Oryzias latipes: one gene and its partner. The protein of the gene in region 2 interacts with the protein of the main gene of each other region in a pairwise test. Links are inferred from orthologs where the notes say so. Each region holds a gene or a part of one and is shown on either strand. Other genes may lie near its edges.

Region 1 (10,861 bases), on a different chromosome or scaffold from region 2:
AGACTCCGCCCACTTCTTCACCTGTATGATCTTATTGGACAATAGTTCCTCCATCGATGTAGACGTCTGACAAATGTTTGAATAATAAAGGACATTAAAAGCTACGTTTGTGTGTTTGTAGTGGTTTTTTGTTAAAGGTTAAAGGTCAAGTTTTTGGGAACCTGGTTGTTTTTCTTTAAGACTGAAAACTCAGAACCAAAACACAAACTTTCCTCTGTGGCAGAAATAAACATGTTTGCAAACAGAACCTTTAGTATGTTTTATACATGTGGAAATGAAAAAAAAAACAGTTCAGTGGGAGGCATGTTAAACATGTTTACCCCTTGTGCTATCCTAGGCACTGGTGGGTCATCTAGACCCACTAGACAGAGCTCTGAACCTTTTTTCTTCAAGGATCTTCACTGGTGTCCATGGATTACATGAAATCTTTCCACCTTTGTCATGGTAGGGAGAACACGTCAATGGGAGGGGGGGTCATCTAAGATAGCACAAGGGTTACAGACTAAATCAAATGTTTACATTTAGTTGGCGAAGGACTCTTCAGAGTCTGGATCCTCCAGGCTCCGCCTCCAGGCTCGTGCAGAACAAAGGAGGCAGCACAGCAGCTTCCATGTTTCACTATATTTATATTATATCATTAAATTCAATGTAGTACCTGAAACTAACACACGGGGGGGCAGACAGCTGTGCCCCCCCCACACGGTCCCAGCAAGAGAGAAGAGAGCGAAAGGCACGAAGAGTTAAACAGGACAGGGGGGGGGGGCAGCACGACAGACAGAGAAAGGCACAAATACAAAGGTCACCTGGAAACAGACTGGGGGGGGGGGGGGGTTCCCCCCCAAACAAAACGAAAAGAAAAGGCACAGAAGCATGAGAACTGAACGATGGTATGAGAGCAGAACCAGAACCTCCATCCGGACCACCGGAACCATCCAGAGGAGAATGCAGCGCCACGCCCAGATCGCCAACCGTCTACAGCAGGTTCCATCAGCGTTGGGTTCCACAACGGGACCATCGTCCCGGATCTTCTCTGGCTCAACCGCCGTCGGGCTTCAAACATCTTGGTTCTAGCCTGTCTTTAGAGGTCAAAGGTCACTGGACCCGTCTCAAACACTCTGCAGGAAACCCGCCTGCTCCACCTGGATCAGGGGGGTGGGGGGGGTCCCGATCAGGTGGTCTGCAGGATGGGGGACCTCAGGGAGCGCGGTTGTGCTCCCTTCAGTTTGGCGTTCTGGATGGTCTGGAGCTGCAGCCGCAGGCGGCAGACAGGTGAGTCCGTGCTGCGCCGGGGGGGGGGGGTCTACCCCCGTGGCAGAAATGTCTGCAGACCGTGGTTGCTGTGAGGTATGGGGGTCCGCCAGCCCCTCAGGGGGAGCCGGCTTTGAGGCGCACCGGCAAAAACAAGCTTATCTGGCTAAAAGATTAAAGAAATGTACGGATAGTTAAAGTGGTGAAGCTGCTCCTGTCTGCTCCTCCTTCCCTCATAGTGTTAGTACTTTACTCCTCCTCCTCCTCCTCCTCCTCCTCCTCCTCCTCCTCCTCCTCCTCCTCCTCCTCCTCCTCCTCCTCCTCCTCCTCCTCCTCCTCCTCCTCCTCCTCCTCCTCCTCCTCCTCCTCCTCCTCCTCCTCCTCCTCCTCCTCCTCCTCCTCCTCCTCCTCCTCCTCCTCCTCCTCCTCCTCCTCCTCCTCCTCCTCCTCCTGCACCGAGCTAAATAAAAATACTGGTTACAAATGGCTATGATGTACGACGCCTCATCCACGCTCGCTCAGTCGCATGCACACAAACAAACGTGCTCCTCCTCCATCCCAGCATCAGAAGAAGGAGTACTGGTTATCAATGGCTCTAGGAGCCCGCGCGCCGTCCCTCTCCTCCCCCTCCACAGCTTCTAGTTGGCGGAGGGGCGTGTCTCTTTCTCTCTCCTCCCACTCGTCTGATCCTCCCCCACTTCCTCCTCCGCTGCCTCCACTTCCTCCTCCTGTGGCTGCTACTGTCCCTGCAGGCACTGCTCCTCCTGCCAGCTCTAGTTCTCCTCTCTCCTGGGGCGGAGTCGGTGGCGGCGGCCGGCCCGGCGGTAGCGTAGGAGGCTGGGGGGGGCTACGGGGTCTGCTGGTCAAGTCTGCCAGGAGAGAGAAAGGAGGCGTGAGAGGGAGAAAAGAGAAGGAGGACAGGAGCATGGAGTCAGACGCCTCCTCAAAGCGCTTTTCTCCCAGATCACTTACAGCAGAACTCTGAGGTTCTGGTTCTGGTCTGATCCAGAACCAAAGGGAGGAGATGCTGTGAACTCCATGTGTGTGCAGGAGGCACATGTAGATAAAGCGAGAGAGAAGCGAGGAGTAACGACCAGGAGGCGGAGACAGAGTCCTCCTCCTCACCAGAGGAGTCCAGATTTCACAGAGAGGAGGACTGAAGCTCCGCCCACTACCAGGAGACGAGGGGGAGCCGCATCTACTAGAGATTCTACGCACAGACGTGGAGCAAGGACCGACAGGAAACAGCTGATGTCCTCAGAGATGGCTCCGCCCCCTTGATTAGAGATGTAGATCTGGACCAACTAGATCTGACCCGGTTCCAGTCTATGATCTACTACTCCAGAAGTCAACCAGTAACATTCAATCTGATTGGCTCTGAGGAGTCATGTGACCCAGAATGTTCAGTCAGCCACACACGCGTCCGGTCTCACTTACACACAGTCAGAGATGGGGGTTGATGGAGAGTCGGGATGGCGCGTGGTGATGACATCACAGACTGTAGGCCGGCTGCCCGCCCTGTCCCGGCCTGTAAGGACGAGCCAATGATACAACAAGGAGAGGTCAGAACGGCCGCGGCAGCACGGAAACGGCGCCGGTTCTGCAGCCGCCGTGTCCATGCCGGTCGGAACACAATCAGGAAAATGAGGAGTGTGATGATGATGATGAGGACATTATGGGCTGCATGCAAATGCTACACATCAATCCCAAACACGCTGCAAAGGTTCTGATCCGCCTCGATGCTTCCAGTGACAGCAGAACCGATGCACAGCAGTCAACACAACCCACAGGCGGCGGGTCCGGTCCGACTCGCCACTGTGGGTCTGCCTGAAACACAGTTTTGGGCCAACAGTCCTTTGACCCTTGCCAGCTCACCAGGAACAGGAATAGAGGTGACGACACCCCAGCCCCCCTCGCCGTTGCTTCCTGATACGGGCGCCGCCCAGTTGCAACTAGTCGAGTGACTGATTTCAACACGGCGCCACCCGTATCAGGAAACAACGGCACTTCCTGTTTAGGAGCAGGGAGGGGTCGGGCTGAAGGTGTTCCTAATGATTTCTCCTCACAAAGGATCAGGACAGGCCCGCTTCCGGCGCCGTCAGAGGGTCACGTGACTGTGTGGTCACTAAAGCGTGTGTAAACGGACATGAATGAAGATTCCAACATTGGTGTTTACACGCACCGCAGTGAACTGGTCTCATAAGGAAACTGGTACAGAGTTTCCTCCGGGACGCCACACGCTTGAACACGGTCGACCGCCGACACCACCTGGTTCCTGGACCGGCCCGGGCAGCACGGGTCCAGACCTTCAAAGAGTTTCTGTGGGCCCTACGGCGCCGTCACACATACCTGGCTGGCGCATGGCGGTAGCACCGACGAAGCTGATGAGGGTGACGTCAGAGGCCCCCCCCGACTCCAGCGGGATGGGATGCACCCGGAAGTGCTCCAGCATGTCGAAGATGGACTGGAACCAGAGGTGCTGCACGCGGCACTGCCCGTCCTCGTTCAGGGACAGGCGGAGGTGCTGCAGGAGGCGGGAGAACCGCAGGTGAGAACAGAGCTTCTGCAGAACCGCAGGCCCAGCTGGAGAGGAGACGTTCCTGCAGGACTGCTGTTCAGCTGAAGGCACATCTCTGATTCATGTTGGAAACATTTGTGCTACAATCATCAGGCTGAGCAGGAATCAAACCTGCAGATCAGAGGTCGAACGCTCTGCTTAATTATCCTACAGAAATTATCTCTGATGCATGCGCGGTTTTCATAAAAGTACAAGGAAAATGTATCCGTGTTTGCAGGGAAGGCGGGGCCAACCTCGACCACCGAGGGTCGAAGGCGGGGCCAACCTCGACCACCGAGGGTCGAAGGCGGGGCCAACCTCGACCACCGAGGGTCGAAGGCGGGGCTTGACCAGCTCCACCCGCCCACCGCAGGAACACCCATGGAGCTCCTTCAGGACTGGCGGAGGACATGGAGCGTCGTTTTAAGGCTGTAGTATCTGTGCTGCCGCCAGCAAATCTAAAATCTAACAGGATTCAGAGAAAAGCGGCTTCTATCTGCGTCAGAATCCGTTGGAGTCACGTTGACAGATTCACGGTCATTCAAAGAATGTCCAGACTGGATGTAAACTTTCGAGGTTCAGGAGTTGATGATGGCAAAAGGATTCACTAGAACTGTTTTAAATAAAGGTTTGCTGATTGAATCTGGCCGCTGTGATTCTTCCTGTCTACACCTGCACTCACCTTGGCCTTGCCCTGGAAGTTAAAGGTCAGGACGTACTCCCCGCGCCGCGTCTCGCTCTGGCGGACCAGGAAGACGCCGTGGCTCGCCGGGCCTCCTGCCAGCACCAGCTGGGCGGCTTTGAGGCGCGACAGCGTCCCGTGGAACCACTGACACTCGCTGAGCGGGTGCTCCACCGCCTCTGCGGGCGCCACATCAGAGAAGAGGAACGACCCTGGAGGTCACAGAGGAAGAGACGCCGCCATCAGCTGCTGCTTCTACAATCAGAACTGGCTTTAAACGGACCAATCAGATTCCTCGAAAAAAGTAGGTGGAGCCTGCTGGCCCCCACAACATTAAAAACTTTTACTGACAGGCCCTCCAGCAAAGGCCACACCCCTTGCTGGAGGGCTTTCCAACAAGCTCACGCCTGATTGGCCAGAGTGGTTGCCATAGAAACGTTTGAGACCAGCCTCGATTGCATCAGAAGCATAATTAACAGCTTCAATGCACATTTGACGTTTTCAGGGTTGATCCTAAGTGGGGGCGGGGCTTTAAGTCCATCGGCCAGCGGGACGTGATTGACGTACCAAACTGAGAAAATATCACTGCTGACGCCAACAACAGACGCCTTTCTGGAGCGGAAATGACCTCTGATGTCAATCAGCCAATGGACTCAAAGCTCCGCCCCCACTAAAGCTCAACTACAAAAACACAAAGTTCTGAATAGAAACTGTAAATTAAGAAATGAAAAAATAGAAAACAGCAGCTGTTACAGAAAAGGTTTTAGCTTCATAGATTCTTACATTCCTGGAGTTTTCTTTCTAATTTTAGTGCCAGTATTTCAAGAGCAACAACCAAAAGACAATTAAAGGAGCAAATAGAACTATTTAGAGCCACAAAAACCGGCCAATCACAGACATGGATGCTGATTGGTCAGAAAACCTCCAATCCGCTGCTCCGCTTCACACTTGTAAATGTGTGAACTATTGGCACAAACGTCCCTCCATAACCATCTGGTTCTTCCTTCAGGACCCTCCTGGGTCACGTTTCACAGGGGGCGGGGCATCACACTCACCTGTGGCGTCTGGCGTCTCTGCAAAAGGCGTGCCCAGGCTAGCCCCGCCTCCCCCGAGAATCCTGCCATCCGGTTCGTCCAGAGGGGCTCGAGGCGGCAGCTCTGGCGGGAGGGGGTCCATGAGCGGCAGGAAGCCCCCGATGCCCCCGTAACAGACTGGGGAGGGAGGAGGCGGTGAACGTGCTGCAGAGGAAACATGCAACACCCTTTACCGCCAAACTCACTTTGTGAGAGACGCTCGCCAGCCTCCGGCGTCCCGCTGATGTCCAGCGGCCCCCGGCAGCCCCCCTCTGCGTCTTCCTGTTCACTGTGGCGGACAGGAAGCAGGGAAAGACTTCAGAACCGACGGTTCTGGAAGAAGAGCGGATCTGCAGAAAACATGAGTACCTGATGCAGATGGCGTTCCTGATGTCACTAAGCCACGCCCTCATCTGAATGGCGTCTCGGGTTTCGATCACGTACTGCGTTGAGCCCTCCAGCTGGAAAAAGACGACGGCGAGCAGAAACACAAACGTTTTCACATCAAAGACCAACGTTCAGGTTGGATCTTTTTTGGGAAATAAAGATGAAACTTTTGATCTGCTGGTTTGTGGTCGATGCGTCCGTCACCGACAGACGCCGCGCCGGCATCGACCCGCTTGGACCTGAGCGGAATCCGACTCACCTGCAGCAGGAAAGTGTTCTCCTTGTCCGGGACCTCCAGCGCCGTGGTGCTCCTCACCTCCGTGATGGAGCAGCAGTGGACGGTCAGCCGGGGCTTTGAGGCCTGGGGAGTCAGACGTGGGCGGAGTCAGAGCAGAAGCCATCGAGTTCCGTTCGCTCTGACGAGAACTTACTTTAGGAGGGATGAAGAACTCCAGGTAGTACTCCTCTCCCCGCTCTCCCCCCTCCCTGTCCCTCGCTCTGAGGACGAGGCGACATTTATGCCAGCGCCCCCCGCTCCAGGGCACGTTCCCCCCGCTGGCGAGGAGCGGCGCCTGACTTCCTTGGCTAGCGGCGGTCGGCGACGTTGCCACGCTGTTGCTGTCCGTGCCGTGGTGCAGGAGGCCAAAGGAGAAGCCGGAGAAGGCGTGGCTTCCTCCCAGCTCCTCGCTGGAGGAGCTGACACTGACTCCGCCTTCCCGCATCAGCCGGCCCACCTTCCTCTGAGGACCCGCAGCGGCGGCGCTGCTGGGGGGCAGCATGGAGGAGGGGTTGGAGCCGGCGGGGGGTGGCAGGAGGACGGGAGGGGGGGACCGGGACAGCCGCAGTTTCTCCAGACGATGGCTCCACTTGTCCTTCTCCCCCCCCTCACCGTTGCTCCGCCGGCGGTCCCGGGCGGCGTCCGACAGAGACAGCGAGGTGGCGCTGCTGGAGGAGGATGGGGGCAGTGAGGATGAGGAGGAGTGAGGAAGAGAGAGAGGCATGGAGAGGGACACCGGCATGGAGGAGGTGGGGGTGGGGGGCTGCGTGGCGGAGGTCCTTTTGGTGGTGGGACCCAGGCCGGCGTCCTGCACCCCCATGGTGTAGCTGTAGCTGGGGGAGAGCTGGTTCTGACCCGAGTCGCTGGAGGAGCTCCTCCAGTGCAGGATGCCGCGCACGCTCCCGCGCACGCTGCGGCCCACGCTGCGCAGGGAGAAGCGCTTCTTCAGTTTGTTTTTGGAGGAGATGGGGGTCTCTTTACACGAAACCGCGGAGGGGGAGGGGTCCTGAGGAAAGGGGTCGGCCTCCCCGGACTCCTGAGGCTCCTCCCCGATGGAGGCCACACCGGGCCAGCTGTCCTCGTCGGGCCCCTCCCCGTTCCCGGGGCTGAACGTGACGCCCCTCTCCTCCCGTCGCCCGTTGTTGCCCCCCACCGAGGAGCAGCACGACGAGGACGACGATGGGGGGAGGGCCTGTCCGTGGGAGTCCTGGAACTTGTCCCCGCCGCGGTTCTCCAGAACCAGCCGTGCCGGTTCGGGTCGGGATGAGGCCTGGGGCGGGGTGGCCCCCGCCGCTGCAGATAAAGGCGAAACCTCCTCCTCTTCCAGCGAGGTGGCGTCCGACGGGGGGGCCCAGCTCACCATGTCGTTGCGGCTGGGCGGCGGCCCCCCCTCCAGCTCGCTCTGGAAGTGGCGCACAAAGCGGTCGGTGAAGCGGCGGCAGAAGGCGGCGGCCGAGTCGGTGCTGTAGTGGGGGTTCTCCAGGAGGAACGCCCGGAAATGGCGAGCAAAGTCCCCCGCCGCAACTCGCGCATGGAGCTCACAGAACTCGGTCCAGCTGAGGGAGGGGGACGGGGACGGTGTGGGGGTGTCCGAAAGGGAGGAGGGGTGAGTCTGGGATGGAGGGCTCACGAGAGGTGGGAGAGGGGGGGGGCGGGGGGATAGCGGCAGCAAAGACGGCGACGGGGGGGACGGAGACGGGGAAGGCGAGGGCGGTAAAGGGGAGGAGTTTGTAGCCCTCGGGCTGGGGGGGGTCAAAAGAGAACCGTTCATCTCTAGGCCGGCCAGCTGAGCTGCACTTCAATCACAAATAAAGGGGGCGTGGCAACGAACGGCGGCAAACACAGAACGCCTAAAGTCGCACGGCACCCCCGGTCTAAAACCAAGACGAGGGGCGGACCCCCACAGGACGCGGTTGAAGGGGGCGGAGACCTGCAGCTGTCTGCTACATCCTCTGGTCCTGGAGCAGGACGGGGAAACGATGATGATGATGATGATTCACGAGGAGCGTCCCGTCTTCATCCTCTGACATGCGGCCGGAGAGGCGGAGAATCATCCTGCAGAAGAGACCAAAAGAGATTCAGAGAATCTGAAGAAATCTCTGTGTGTCGGGGACTAAACGACGCAGAAAAGTCACTGCGTTTGGGGGGGTAGATGTCCTGAAGACAACCATGTTCTCTTCTGCAGAAAAGGGGCGGGGCTAAATTCAACAACAATAGAATTGATCTGAACCAACAGAACTGGACAGATTGATAAAATCTGTTTCCTATTTGTGTTCATGAGTGATAATAATTCTAAACATTAGCTCCTCCTCCTTTCAGGTTAAACAATGACACGCTTTAAGGAAATGAATCCAGTCGGTTCCGTGTTCCGGCTGTGAACGTCAGCCCAACAGAACTCCGGACTCTCTACCTGCTCAGACAACCTGTGGACCCGCAGGTCCTGACTGAGCTGGGATGGAAGGACCGCTCTGAGAACCGCAGAGAGGAAAACACGGCTTCACCTGGAGATCAGAGACGTCTCAGAGCTGACTGCGAGCGCCGGCGAAGACCCCAGGACGCGTTCCCGCCCTCCTGCTCCTCTACCGCTGACTGCTGATGACAAGACACGAGCGATAATGCTCACCTCTCTCCACTGGAGTAAGCCTGCCCTCATTTCCCAGCATCCCTTTGTTTATCCTGTGTCTCACTAGCTTACAGCCCCTCACACCCCCATGCTAACATTAGCGGTGCTACAGAAATGGCAGCAACATGGCATCTATGCAGCCGTCCAGCTTAGATCCAGATTCCAGCTCGAGCAGGAGAACAAAGACGTTCTGGATCTGTCTGTCTGATCAGAAAGGGGCGGAGCAGGAAGCTTACGGCCCGCCCTTGTTGGTCACACACCTACAAGCTTCTTCAAACTGCTTTTTTATCAGCTCCTGATTTACTCTTTGAATAAAAAAATACTCAAACAGCTTGGAGCTTCATTTTCCTCAGACTGGGTCTATCATGGGGCAGGGGGGCAGATCTGGTCCTATTCGTACCGGGTTCCTCTAGGTTCTGTTCTTAGCCCTCTTCTCTGTCAACAGCATCATCATGACCTTCTGTCTAGGTTCTGCTGATGAGACGTCTGCTGGTTCCTGCACAGCGTGCAGCTGAGGATCAGAGGCTGACCTTCTCTGAGGACCCGTTCATGTCAGCTTCAAGAAAAGACGGAATCATTCAGGAGGAAGATCCGTTCAGCCCCGCGTGGCCCTGACCGGGTTCGATTCCTCACTACACAAGTCTATATAAATGTTTTAAAGATCAGCCGGTTCTGCAGAACTTTGAGAAACATGGAAAGCAGTTTGTTTTTTTTCAATTAGTGCGTAGAAACGCAGGATTTTGATGGTCAAACCGTTTTTCAGTCCTGATTCAGGGTCAATCAGGACTTTGCCTCCTTCCGGTCCAGTCACAGGTGTAGAGTGTGGAGCAACCAGGTGAGGGCGGTGACCTGGGGAGGTCCAGGTGAGGGCCGTGACCTGGGGAGGTCCCGCAGATCCTCGCTGCTCTGGACGCTGGAGCTCAGCTGTAGGTTCGCCGCTCACATCTTTTGCTCGTTCAGCGTCCCACAAACGTGTTAGCCTACTAAGGTTCGATCCCCATGGTCAGCTTTGACTCCCCGTCCCGAGCATCGATATCTGCCCTCCGTGACCACTCCTGTGTGTTTTTTTTCCCTCTCACCTGTCGCTCACGTGAGAACTTTTCCAATCCCGACGACAAACATTCTCCACGAGCGCAGCTAACTGTTAGCCAGCGGGCTGGTTATTAATAAACAAGCTAGTCGGCTATCGCCTTTATCGTGACGGAGAGTCGTACCTGAACACCGCGGCCCACACCTGGTCACGCGCGCCTGCAGCCCCTCAGCGCTGCCCCAACCTGCGCGGCGGGACAGACATGAAAGCAGCTGTTGTTGTTGCTAAATATCAATGTCGCCTTAGCTTCTCTGCTCCTGATCTTCTCGCACTGGCTCGAGGTCTCGCGGGATCTGCGGAGGGGTGAGCGAGTCCAAACGGCCGCTGATCAGATCAGATCAGACGACGTGAATGACGTTAAAAATGTAAAATTAAAAACGTGATGTTCTTCAGCCGAAAAGACAGATTATGGTGTACTTTAATTCAAGTACGAATTCTAAAAATGTTGCTAAAATGGAAAATAAAAGTATTTAATTTTTTTTTCTAGATGCGACTTTTTTTATTGCACAATTGCAACATACAAAACAAGAAAATACAACAATTATGCACATATGATGTACAATAGAATTCTGAATACAGAACAAACATGTTACATTCTTTAAAAAATTCTAATTATTAATAACAAACACAAGAGGGAATAAAAAATAAAATGAAATAAAAAAATAAAAAGAGAAAATGCGAGTCTATGTCAGCAGTCCAAAAGAATTACAAATGTTAATTGTTTTTTGAGCTTTTGTATTTTTTGAAGCAGAAATTAAGTTTAAATATTGCTGCAGTTCCAGTTTGAACACAAAGAAATCCGTTTTTTATTGGAAAATTTTCTTTTGTGAATATGAAATTTAGCCATAAATAATACCATGTTTACACAAAAGAAAGCATCTCGGTCTTTGACATCAAAGCTATGAAAACCAAAAAGTACATTTT
Region 2 (9,685 bases):
TGCTTCCTGTTCACCGCACACCTCCCGGAGAGGCTGGCCCCCGGGCGCTTCGACTATTTCGGTGAGATTCATGCAGTTTAATGAAAGCCGGCGGGTTTGAGTCCTTCTAAATCTGGTCTGCAGCCGAATTATTTATTTTTTAAACTTGCCTCTCATTTAAAGTCTAGAAAAAAGCTCCACCACATTTGAAACCTGTCCTGGTTTTTAACCCATAAAATAAACTGTGTCTGAGCTTTTGTTTCCTCTTTTTTTGAGGCAATTTAAAAAAAAAGTCTTTGTTTTTTAGCAAACCTTCCCTCCTTTCAGTGTCTGTTTAACATTTGTAGGTTTTTGATCTTTGACACCATTTATTCTTCAACTTTTATTCACCTTCTTCAGACGATTTGGCCTTTTCTCTGTAGCTGTTTCTGCATTCGTCTGTTTTTTTATTTTATTTAAATGAGCTTGCAGTATTTATTTGTACAAACAGCTTTGCTAAACTGAATTCATTTCCCCTTATTTTGATTTATATGAATTTATTCCATTTTCTTCAGCATATTTACTCTATTTTTTAAAAGCTTTTAAAGTTTCCATGTGATCGTTGTTCAGCATCATAGAGCCTCTTTTGTTGAAATGAAGTTTTTATTTAAAATGTTTAGCTTTATTTTGAAAATTTCAGCTTTTTTCTGTAATTTAGAATATACTAAAACAGTTTTCAACATATTTATCTGTCGTACATTTTCTTTGGCCAGTTTAATATTTGTCTTTAAATGTTGTTTTTAGCCTTTCATCTAAATGTTAAACTCCATTTTAGCTTTCTTCCAGCTGCAAAGGCTCATTTTGTTTGAGAAAAAAAGCATTACTATTTAAAATGTCCTCTTTTATTTGATTTAACACCAACACTTCTTGCTCATTTGTACTTTTTTAGATTCTTTTTCATATTTTTAGATTAGCATATTTAGCATTTAAGTCTAAATATAAGACATTTTTCACTTCTTCTCAGTGAAATAGTACAGAAAATGCTTTTCTTTCTTTAGCTGAAGGAACCAAAAAACAATCATCTGCAAAAGATTAGAAACAGATTTCTCTCAAACTTTTGTTCCAAAAGCTACAAACCTTGAAATAATAATCATAATTCATACATTGCCTTTAAAACGCCCCTATCAAGTCCATTAGACTCTTTAGAATGAGTTTTTAAAAAAAGGGAGGGGTGAAAGAGAAAAGGACGAGTTAAAAACGTCATTTTTTCTGTCAAATTCTATCTTCTTTTCTGTTTTCCCTGCAGATCTTTGAACAATCGACACCCAAGAATCAAAATTGTCTTTTTTATTTAACAGACATTTCTATTTTGTTTTGGAACCTTAACGGCAAAAGAAGAAACTCAGATGATCAAAATGAAAGTAATTTTCACAAAACCTTCATCTAATATCTAATGCCAGCTCAGTGGCCCTGTGGTTAGTGTCCACCCTGTGACTGGAAGGTTGTGGGTTCAAACCCAACCGAGTCAGACCAAAGACCCAAAGCCTCCCTGCTTGACATTCAGCATTAACGGGTTGGATTGGGGGGTTAAATCCACCGAAAATGTTCCAGAGAGCAGCTGTGTCTGCAGCTCCCCGCTCCCCCAGGGGGTCAAAGATAGTGTGATTTAATTTAATAATCTAAATTTTAAAAAAAAATTGACGTAATCTTTATTTATAATAATAGCGGAAATTGCTGATGCCTTCTGGGAAATGGAGTTTTCTGGTATGTCCTGTTGCTTGACTTGTTGTGTGGCGATGGCTCTTTCAGGCCACAGTCACCAGCTCTTCCACGTCAGCGCCGTGGTGGGAACTCACTTCCAGATGGAGGGTGTCCTCGCCGACATGTCGTCGCGGCGCCAGTGGCTGCAGACCCACGGCTTGGCGCCGTCCTTCCTTAGCACCTTCGGCGCCCTCGTCCTCAGCTTTGTCCTTAACCTGGGCATCATCGCCGTGTTCAGCGCGCTCCTGCTGTGGAAGCCCCGCCCCAGCTGCGGCCAGCAGCACGCCCCCACCTGCGGGTGCAAGGAGCAGTGAGGGCGGGGCTTCCCACAAAGCAGCTTCCTTACATTCCAAAGGAGGTCCCGGCCGGCGGTGTTCCCGCTCCACAGACTGACGTTTCCCTGTGTTTGTGTCCGGTCAGAAGCCGATGACCCGTCTGCGGGTCGAAGGACGCTGCTGCCGGGTTTGCAGAAACTCCGTCTCTCCTCACCCTTTATAATCTAATGCAGATTGGATCTACGGCGCTCCAGCCCGGCGTTGATTGTCAGACGCTTCCATTTCTGATTGCCTCCTTGTCATGATCTGCCCTCGGAGACGTCCAGCGAGGCGGTGATTAAAGGACAGGCACCACTTTTTGAACACAGCGTTCCCCGTTCTTCTGAGCTCACACGGAAATCTGCCAAAAGCTAAAAAAAAAAAAAAAAAAAAACCTGGCGTGGCGTTTCTGTCCAAAACTGTGATTGACTTTTGATAGAAGGCTGAATAACTTCAGACCTTTCTGTGGTGCTTCGGGTCTCTAACCAACATTAACAACTCATTTCTACGTTTACATTTCACAATAAAAGAAGTCAGACATTTTATATTTATTGCTGCTTCTAAATAACTCAGTGAAAATCTCACAAACTCATCCTAAAAGCTATTTTTGATCATAATTAAAATCTTTAAAAAAAAAGGGGGGAAAGCAAAATATTTACTTTAAAACTTTAAATTCAAGTCAAAGTGTTTGGGGAAAAACTTGGGAATTTTAATTTAAATGTAGATCATTTAAATTCAGATGAACCTTCACTTGTGTTTGGTGAAAGCTCAATATCAAAGTGGCTCCATTGGATGCCGTTGTCACTTTTTCAGGCCAGTGACAGAAAAACGTCGGTGTTTGAGGTTCGTACCAAACACAAACTGTTCCAAACGGCACAAAACGGTCTCAGTAACCAGCTGCTAACACACACTAACTAGCTCTCCACAGCCGGTCAGGACGGAGGTTTGCTCGGAGGGAAAAGCAGGTGGTCTGGTGGGAATGGAGCTTTGGAAAGTGTAGAATCCCAGGGGAACTTTCCTTTAGCAGCATTTGCCTTCACTTGCTCCAGAGTCTCTTGGTTTCTGAGCAGAATTTTCACCAAAATATCCAAACAAAAAGAATCCTGACACTGAATCGTGGAAAGACCTGTGGTAATCTGTGGATTTGACGGCGTTTGGAGATGTGTCCGAGGGAAGGCGGGAGGTTGGAAAAACATGTTGTGCCTTTTTTATGGTGTTTTTTTTTACAACTTGTCTCTGATTTAATGTTAAAAGAAACTCTACAAACATATATCTGATCTTTGTGTAAATTGTAATTTGCTTTAAAAGGCTTGTGTAATTAAACTGAAGCTTTTATCAATGCAGTTACATGGTGAATCTTTTCAGAGGTGTTTTTATCCTGCAGAGTTTAATTTTAAAAATGACTTTAACGGAAAAGATGAATTTTAAACTGTTGCTTGAATTTGCTTTGTATTTTTTTAAAATCACATTTTAATCAGCTGCAGAATGGGGTGCAGTGCACGAGGGTGGCCAGCAGAGGGCAGCACAGGGAGAATTGTGTCAGAAACTCCTCAGATGAGCTTCAGCTCGTCAACAAATGAGCTGCAGCTCATCTGAACAGGAGAATAAGGCCAAATGAATCACCGTCTAATATTTTCCTGGGCAAAAGTCCTCCCTGATTCACACAAATCCCTGCATTCGTTCACGTTTCTGGAGTCTGCCTGATGCTGAAGTTTGTTTTTTTAAAACCCCCTTTTTTTCTGCTCTGACTCATTAGGTTTTTTTCTTTCACCTCTAAAGCCTCTCAGGCAGAGCAGAGTGGTTTATTATTAGCAGCAGGCTCAGACCACAATGAATCGGCTCTGGCATTTTCATAAAAGAAATAATTATCGGGAGAAATCAATATCCCGTGTGCGTACATTATAAGATGAGGTGGAGGACTGAAAAGGAAAGTTTCCCGCTGCAAAGCTCTAATAGGACCTTCATTTTTAAAAAATGGCCTCATTTCCAGCTCTTATTGTCCTCGCATTTCAAACCCAGCCGGGGTTGGGCCTCGAGTGCTTTTTAAGAAGCTCCATTCTGAAACCACAAAGGCTGCGGGGACAAACACTGATCCGATCCGTCCTCAATCTGCTTGTAAGACGCCACAAGACAGTCCTCCAACACCCCCCCCCCCCCTCTCTCCCTCCCTCCTGCATCCTTCAGTCCAGAGGAGGTGCATAAGGAGAAGAGGGAGCATAGATCACACTGGAAAAACTGCACAGTGATGCATCGATTCCATTTTTAAACCTGTTTTGTTTATTCCTTTAAGGGCAAACGATTTACAAAGAGATACAGGTTTTAGAAGCCCCCCCCCCGTCTGTACATCCACTATTTACATGGGTGGCAACCCCCCCCCCCCCCCCCCCACACACACACAACTTCCCCAGGCGTACAGTTACAGAGACATCTGCCCCTCTCCTTCTGAATCCATCTGTTCCCCTAAACCGCACATCCCATAATTCCCTCAGGTTTTCTTCCTGAAAACAAATTTTTTCCTCTTTTTTTTTTTCTTTTTTCTTTAAAAATAACCATAGCCCCCCTCCCGTCCCCCCCCCCCCCCCCCCCCCCTGGCACAGAAACCAACAGACACTCAGGTGAACATGTGAACTGCCCCTCAGCCCAGGATGTCCAGGTAAACTGGGGGGGTTCTGACCAGAGCCAGCAGGCGGCTGTGGATCTCCTTGATGACCGTCCTCTGCTGGGGCTCCCTCTGCCAGCAGCCCTGCATCAGCTGGTACACCTCCTTAGGACAGGTGCGCGGCCTCTCCAGCTCCCGCCCCTGCGTGATGCATTCAATGGCCTGTCGGAGAGGAGGAATCCGATTACTTCAGGATGGAGAGAACCCACCTTTCTCTGGAAGGGACGGTTCAGACTCTCTCAAAAGAGAGAACGAAAGCGGCTACGATGTGTCTGCGAAGGTGAGGAAATCTGATTACATCTCCCCCAGTCTGTAATTGCATCACTTTAGTGAATGTCAACACACCAAGAGTCTGAGCGTGCAGCAGTTTAGTGATGTAAGTAGAAGAAGTCGACGAATCCAGAACAGTTTTGTAAAAACGGTCACTAACAACTCAGTTACCCTGCTTAAAGATCCGCTTTGTTGATCAAACATCCCAGTGTTTACTTTTGTTTTATTATAAGGATGCTGCTGTTAGCTAAATTGAGCAAGACCTGAGTCGTGTTCTAGGACATAGTTTCTGCAGGAGTTCATGAGAAATTCACCTCTGAGTTGTGGGCGGGGCCGTTGGCGTGGAGTAACCCTGACCTAACATTAGATTGCAGCAAAACAAAGACGTTCATGGATCTGTTTGTCTACGATGCATCAGAACGGGGCGGAGCAGGAGGCTCGTGGTCCGGCCAGCATCATTTCTGCGATCATTTTCCAAATGCATGGTTTCGTCTTCTCTGTGCAGAAAAAGGCTCTGTGCCTTTTATGATAAAAAAAATAAATAATCCAGGACTAAAATGATGCGCTTCTGTTCTATGTTCCAATTATGAGATTAATTTCAGCATCACACTGGAAACGGCAGAAAAGAAATGTTTCAGCGTATCTGTCTGGTTACTGAAAGAAAAGCTCACAGTGGTCAAAGAAATAGCTTGAAACAAACAAAAGTAATAATAAATACAAATTCTTTATATTTGTTTAGTTTTTCTTTAGTTAGTTGAAGGGGGGCCAATAATTTACTGTCCACGTGTCTTAAGATTTCTATCAGAAGTCTCACTAAATACTCATTTGTTAAAAAACAACAAATGTCTCTATTTTCTGCTTTTTTTCCATGTCAGTGACATTTTATCTTGATTCTGTGAATCCACCGTTTTACTCCAGTGTCTAAAAACTTCAGAATTTGTCTGATTCTGCTTTAGATTCTAATCTAAACTTTAGTAACTGATGTACTGCTTTCTTCTATTCTGGTAAAATGACTTCGAAGTAGATCTTTTTTTTCCGACAGATCTGAAGTAGATCTGTCGGAAGTGGAGCAGACTCTTTAGAGGAGGCCGCGACCTCTGACCTCTGCCTCCTTCAGCTGCCGTTTGGATGTGAAGATCACTGACGTTCAGCTTTCAGTCCAGAAGAAAATCCATCTACCTTTTGTCTCGTGATCAATCAACACGATCAGCAGATCAGATTGAGTCATTTTAGAGAGTAAATCTGTGATTCTAGCATAACACAGACGACTGGTGAAGCATTGTGGGTAGTGGGGCTGTTTTCGTGTCCATTTCTGGATTTTTTTCTTTAACTTTTTTATTCTAAGAGATCAGAATCTGCAGAGACCAGCAGGATTAACCATATAATCACATTTTCATTTGTTTTTAGATGACTGTTCTTTATTTAAATGTGAAATGTTTGTGCATCTAACAAAACAAATTACTCAGTTTATAGCAAGTAGATGTATAAGGGAATTGATAGCTAGAATGAAATTATTTTAGGTTTACCAAAAAACAAAAGTCTGATTGTTTTTTAATCGTTTTGTCTTCCTATCACGTCTCTCGCCTGAGCCTGAAGTTTTTCTGAAGAAGCCGAGAATATTTAAAATTAAATTGAACTCTTTATGTTGTAAATCCTACAATTTATGGAAGCGATTCTGTGGCATAATTAAAAAATAAAAGTCAAAACCAGAAATGCTTTTTCATTTTCAACATGAAGCTGCATTTTTTGAATCAAAATTCAAATGAAAAAGCAATCCACCAAAATGCTTTTTCATTTCCTTCCTCAACACCTCTTATTCTGTCACTTAATTAAAAAGATAAAGAAAATGGTATTTGACATTTCATTTTCAAAAAGTTCTCTGGTAAATGTGTAGCAAAATTCATTTAGAAATGTCTAATTGACAATTAAAATGGATTAACAGAAATGCTTTTTCATTTTCAAAATGTAACTGCATCAAATGGCTCAAAATTAAAATGAAAAATCAACGCTTCAAAATGCTTTTTGAAAATGAAATGTCAAATACCATTTTCTTTATCTTTTTCATTTAGTGACTTCAAGAAGTCCCAGAAGAAGTGGAACATTTTCGTTAAATTTACTGAAGTTCAGTAACAGAAACTTTGATTAGATGGAGGGACAGACTCACGGCAGAAAACTGTGATGCTTTTTTTCTTCAAAATATTTAAGGAAAGCCTAAAGTTTCCTAAAAAAAACACACAGATGAGATGCTGGAAGCACAAAAACTGATCTAAAATGAATGAAAACCCATTTTTCTTGAAATGAAAAACAGAACTTCTGCACTTTTCAAGCTGTTTTCTGATGTTTCGGAGCTCAGTGGGACGTCAAGGATTCGAACAGTTTCCTCTTTTCGCGTTGGTGTTCGTTGACCTGCTGGGGAGACTCCGATCAAAGGATTTGCTTCACACGAGCCGTCTCGCTTATTTATGATAATTTATCTGCTTCACAGAGTATTTAGGCAGCACGATCGTTTCACCTGCCCCGCATTGGGTTAGACAGATTAGGGTAACAAGGTTACACCTCATTGGCTCGAAGCTAAAAAGAAGCTAAGCAGCTTAGCATCGAGCGCAGCAGGAAAGTGATCCACCCTCCGCTGAAAGGCAGAGAGGCCGGCGGCCTGGAAGAGCTCTGCTGCGGTCACAGTGGAGACCCTCTTCTTGGTGCTTAAGCTGGAAAGGCCAGACTGGCCTGCCCTTATTTACTATCAGCGTATTGATTACTGACAGAGTGCGGAAGATCTACGACCTCACAGAGAGGATGTGCGAGCGTGGAGGTGGTTCAGGCTGGAGCAAAAACAAAAAAACAACATGTTTAATGTTTTTTGCTCATCATGAAACTTTAAAAAAAAAATATTTTCTCAACTTTGAATTTGCCCCGAATTCTTTTTCTGAAATTCTGTGAAAAGTTGTTTTTTTCGTTCCAACCTCACTTATTTTCTTGCAAGTGAACCCTGGTGTGGATCAGTGTTGGTGTGTGAACAAGAAAACCAAACATTGAATTTTGTGTGAATCAGGAAGAGACTAGCTGTTGTATTACCTGATTTGTACAACGCTGTGACAACTTCCCATCTTTAGCAAACCTTTTTTTTTTTTTTGGTCCATGGCAAAGGTGGATAGAGGTGGAGAGGATTTCATGGAGTCCATGGACACCAGTGAAAATCAAAAATCACTTAAGAAAAAAGGTTCAGCGCTCTGTCTTGGGGGGGTCCAGATGACCCCACTCCCAATGTTAAAACAAGATGGCACAAGTGTGAAAGGTTCAAAGAGAAAAAGCTGCTTCAGCTTTTGTTACCCAGAAACTGAGACTTTAGAAGGATTTTTCTGCTGAAACTGTGTGAGGAGTTCCCATGGTGATGCACTGCTTTGAAACAAAAGTCTACTCCTTCACCAGGCGTGTGATGCATGATACCCATTTTCTTTACGTTGCAGGTAAGCCAAAGGAATGTGATGGTAATCTGCTCAATAATCTCACCAAATCTACTAAATGAACCACTTTAGTTTTGAAACAAAGGCTTTTTCTTGTAAATATATTCATTGATTTTTTTTTTATTTTTTTTTTTATGGTGGCTCTAATACTCGGTCGTAAACCTTACTCCAGCTGCTGCCGGACCAGGAACAGATGTGCGGAGGGTTTTTGTTAACCCAATTTATAAGAGAGAAAAATAATGTGGAATTTGGATGAAAATATTTGTCTATTTTTTTTATGTAGGATTTATTTGGAAATATTTCAAATAAGCAAAAACAAACAATTCAAAACCACAATTACAAAAAAACAAGAAAGACATAAACAAATAAAATAATTATACAAACAATATACTGTGCTACCAATCTATGACCAGCAAAGGCATTAAACACGTCAGACCTGTTAATTTATTTGAGAGTTCACGGGTCATTTCTAAGGTCAAGGCCATGACATGTTCTAAGAAAGTTGACCAAATTTCAGAAAATTTAGATCCAGAGCCCCTATATATGTTGATTCTGATTAACAATGTGATGTATACATTTTAAAACAGAGTTTTTATTTAAAAACTGTTTCTTTTGTTCTCATTTTAGAACCAATTGTCTCGATGGGTTCGTGTCCCTCATGGACAAACCCACATTTTGAGAAATGCTGCATTTAGGTGGTGTTGAAATGATTGGGAAAAAAATTGTACAGCTCCGAAAACACACATGAATGTTAAATAGCTTTCTGTAGTTCAGCAAAGGTCAACTTATTTGTAATGTACCACCTGTGAGGAGCCACTATCATCAATATAATTTATTCCAGCTTGGTGGGCCAGATTAAATAGTTTAATGGGCCCCCGGGTCGTAGTTTGCCCACCCCTGAGCTAGCGCCCCATGGTGGCAACAAACCGACGAAGCTCTAAAAAGTGCAGCGCCCTCTGCTGGTCGAGTCTGCTTTGAGATGAACTTAAAGGTTCAATATAAAGGTTTGTTTCGATTGGCAGTAAAAGCGCAGCACCAAACTCACCTCACTGTTGGACAGCTGATACCAGGGCTGCTTTCCGTAGGTGAAGATCTCCCAGAGAACCACGCCAAAGCTCCAGATGTCGCTCTCCGTGGTGAACTTCCTGTACATGATGCTCTCCGGGGGCATCCAGCGGATCGGCAGCATGGTACGCCCGCCCACCTGGGGAGATGCACATGAATTACTGTGTTAGAAATCATTTCCTGTATGTATTGAACTG

Evidence for each region. The genes of interacting proteins can lie anywhere in the genome.
Region 1: the proteins of ntrk1 (region 2) and sh2b1 interact in a two-hybrid assay, tested with the Homo sapiens proteins (2 studies listed by BioGRID). The link is inferred for Oryzias latipes from reciprocal best matches to the Homo sapiens genes NTRK1 and SH2B1.

Annotation. Positions count from the first base shown.
Region 1 is NC_019866.2:699,076-709,936, forward strand, and holds sh2b1 (SH2B adapter protein 1), read right to left. Parts: upstream 10,241-10,861; 5' UTR 10,062-10,240; intron 8,955-10,061; exon of another isoform or gene 8,726-8,954; intron 8,280-8,725; 5' UTR 7,996-8,279; coding exon 6,379-7,995; intron 6,309-6,378; coding exon 6,207-6,308; intron 6,022-6,206; coding exon 5,930-6,021; intron 5,850-5,929; coding exon 5,767-5,849; intron 5,699-5,766; coding exon 5,543-5,698; intron 4,700-5,542; coding exon 4,488-4,699; intron 3,773-4,487; coding exon 3,598-3,772; intron 2,777-3,597; coding exon of another isoform or gene 2,686-2,776; intron 2,118-2,685; coding exon 1,813-2,117; 3' UTR 1,699-1,812; intron 1,516-1,698; 3' UTR 607-1,515; downstream 1-606. UniProt on the Homo sapiens protein: Adapter protein for several members of the tyrosine kinase receptor family.
Region 2 is NC_019874.2:29,035,908-29,045,592, forward strand, and holds the end of ntrk1 (high affinity nerve growth factor receptor), read right to left. Parts: intron 9,628-9,685; coding exon 9,469-9,627; intron 4,855-9,468; coding exon 4,669-4,854; 3' UTR 4,575-4,668; downstream 1-4,574. Other genes in the region: membrane progestin receptor delta, read left to right, coding at 1-61, 1,768-2,033. UniProt on the Homo sapiens protein: Receptor tyrosine kinase involved in the development and the maturation of the central and peripheral nervous systems through regulation of proliferation, differentiation and survival of sympathetic and nervous neurons.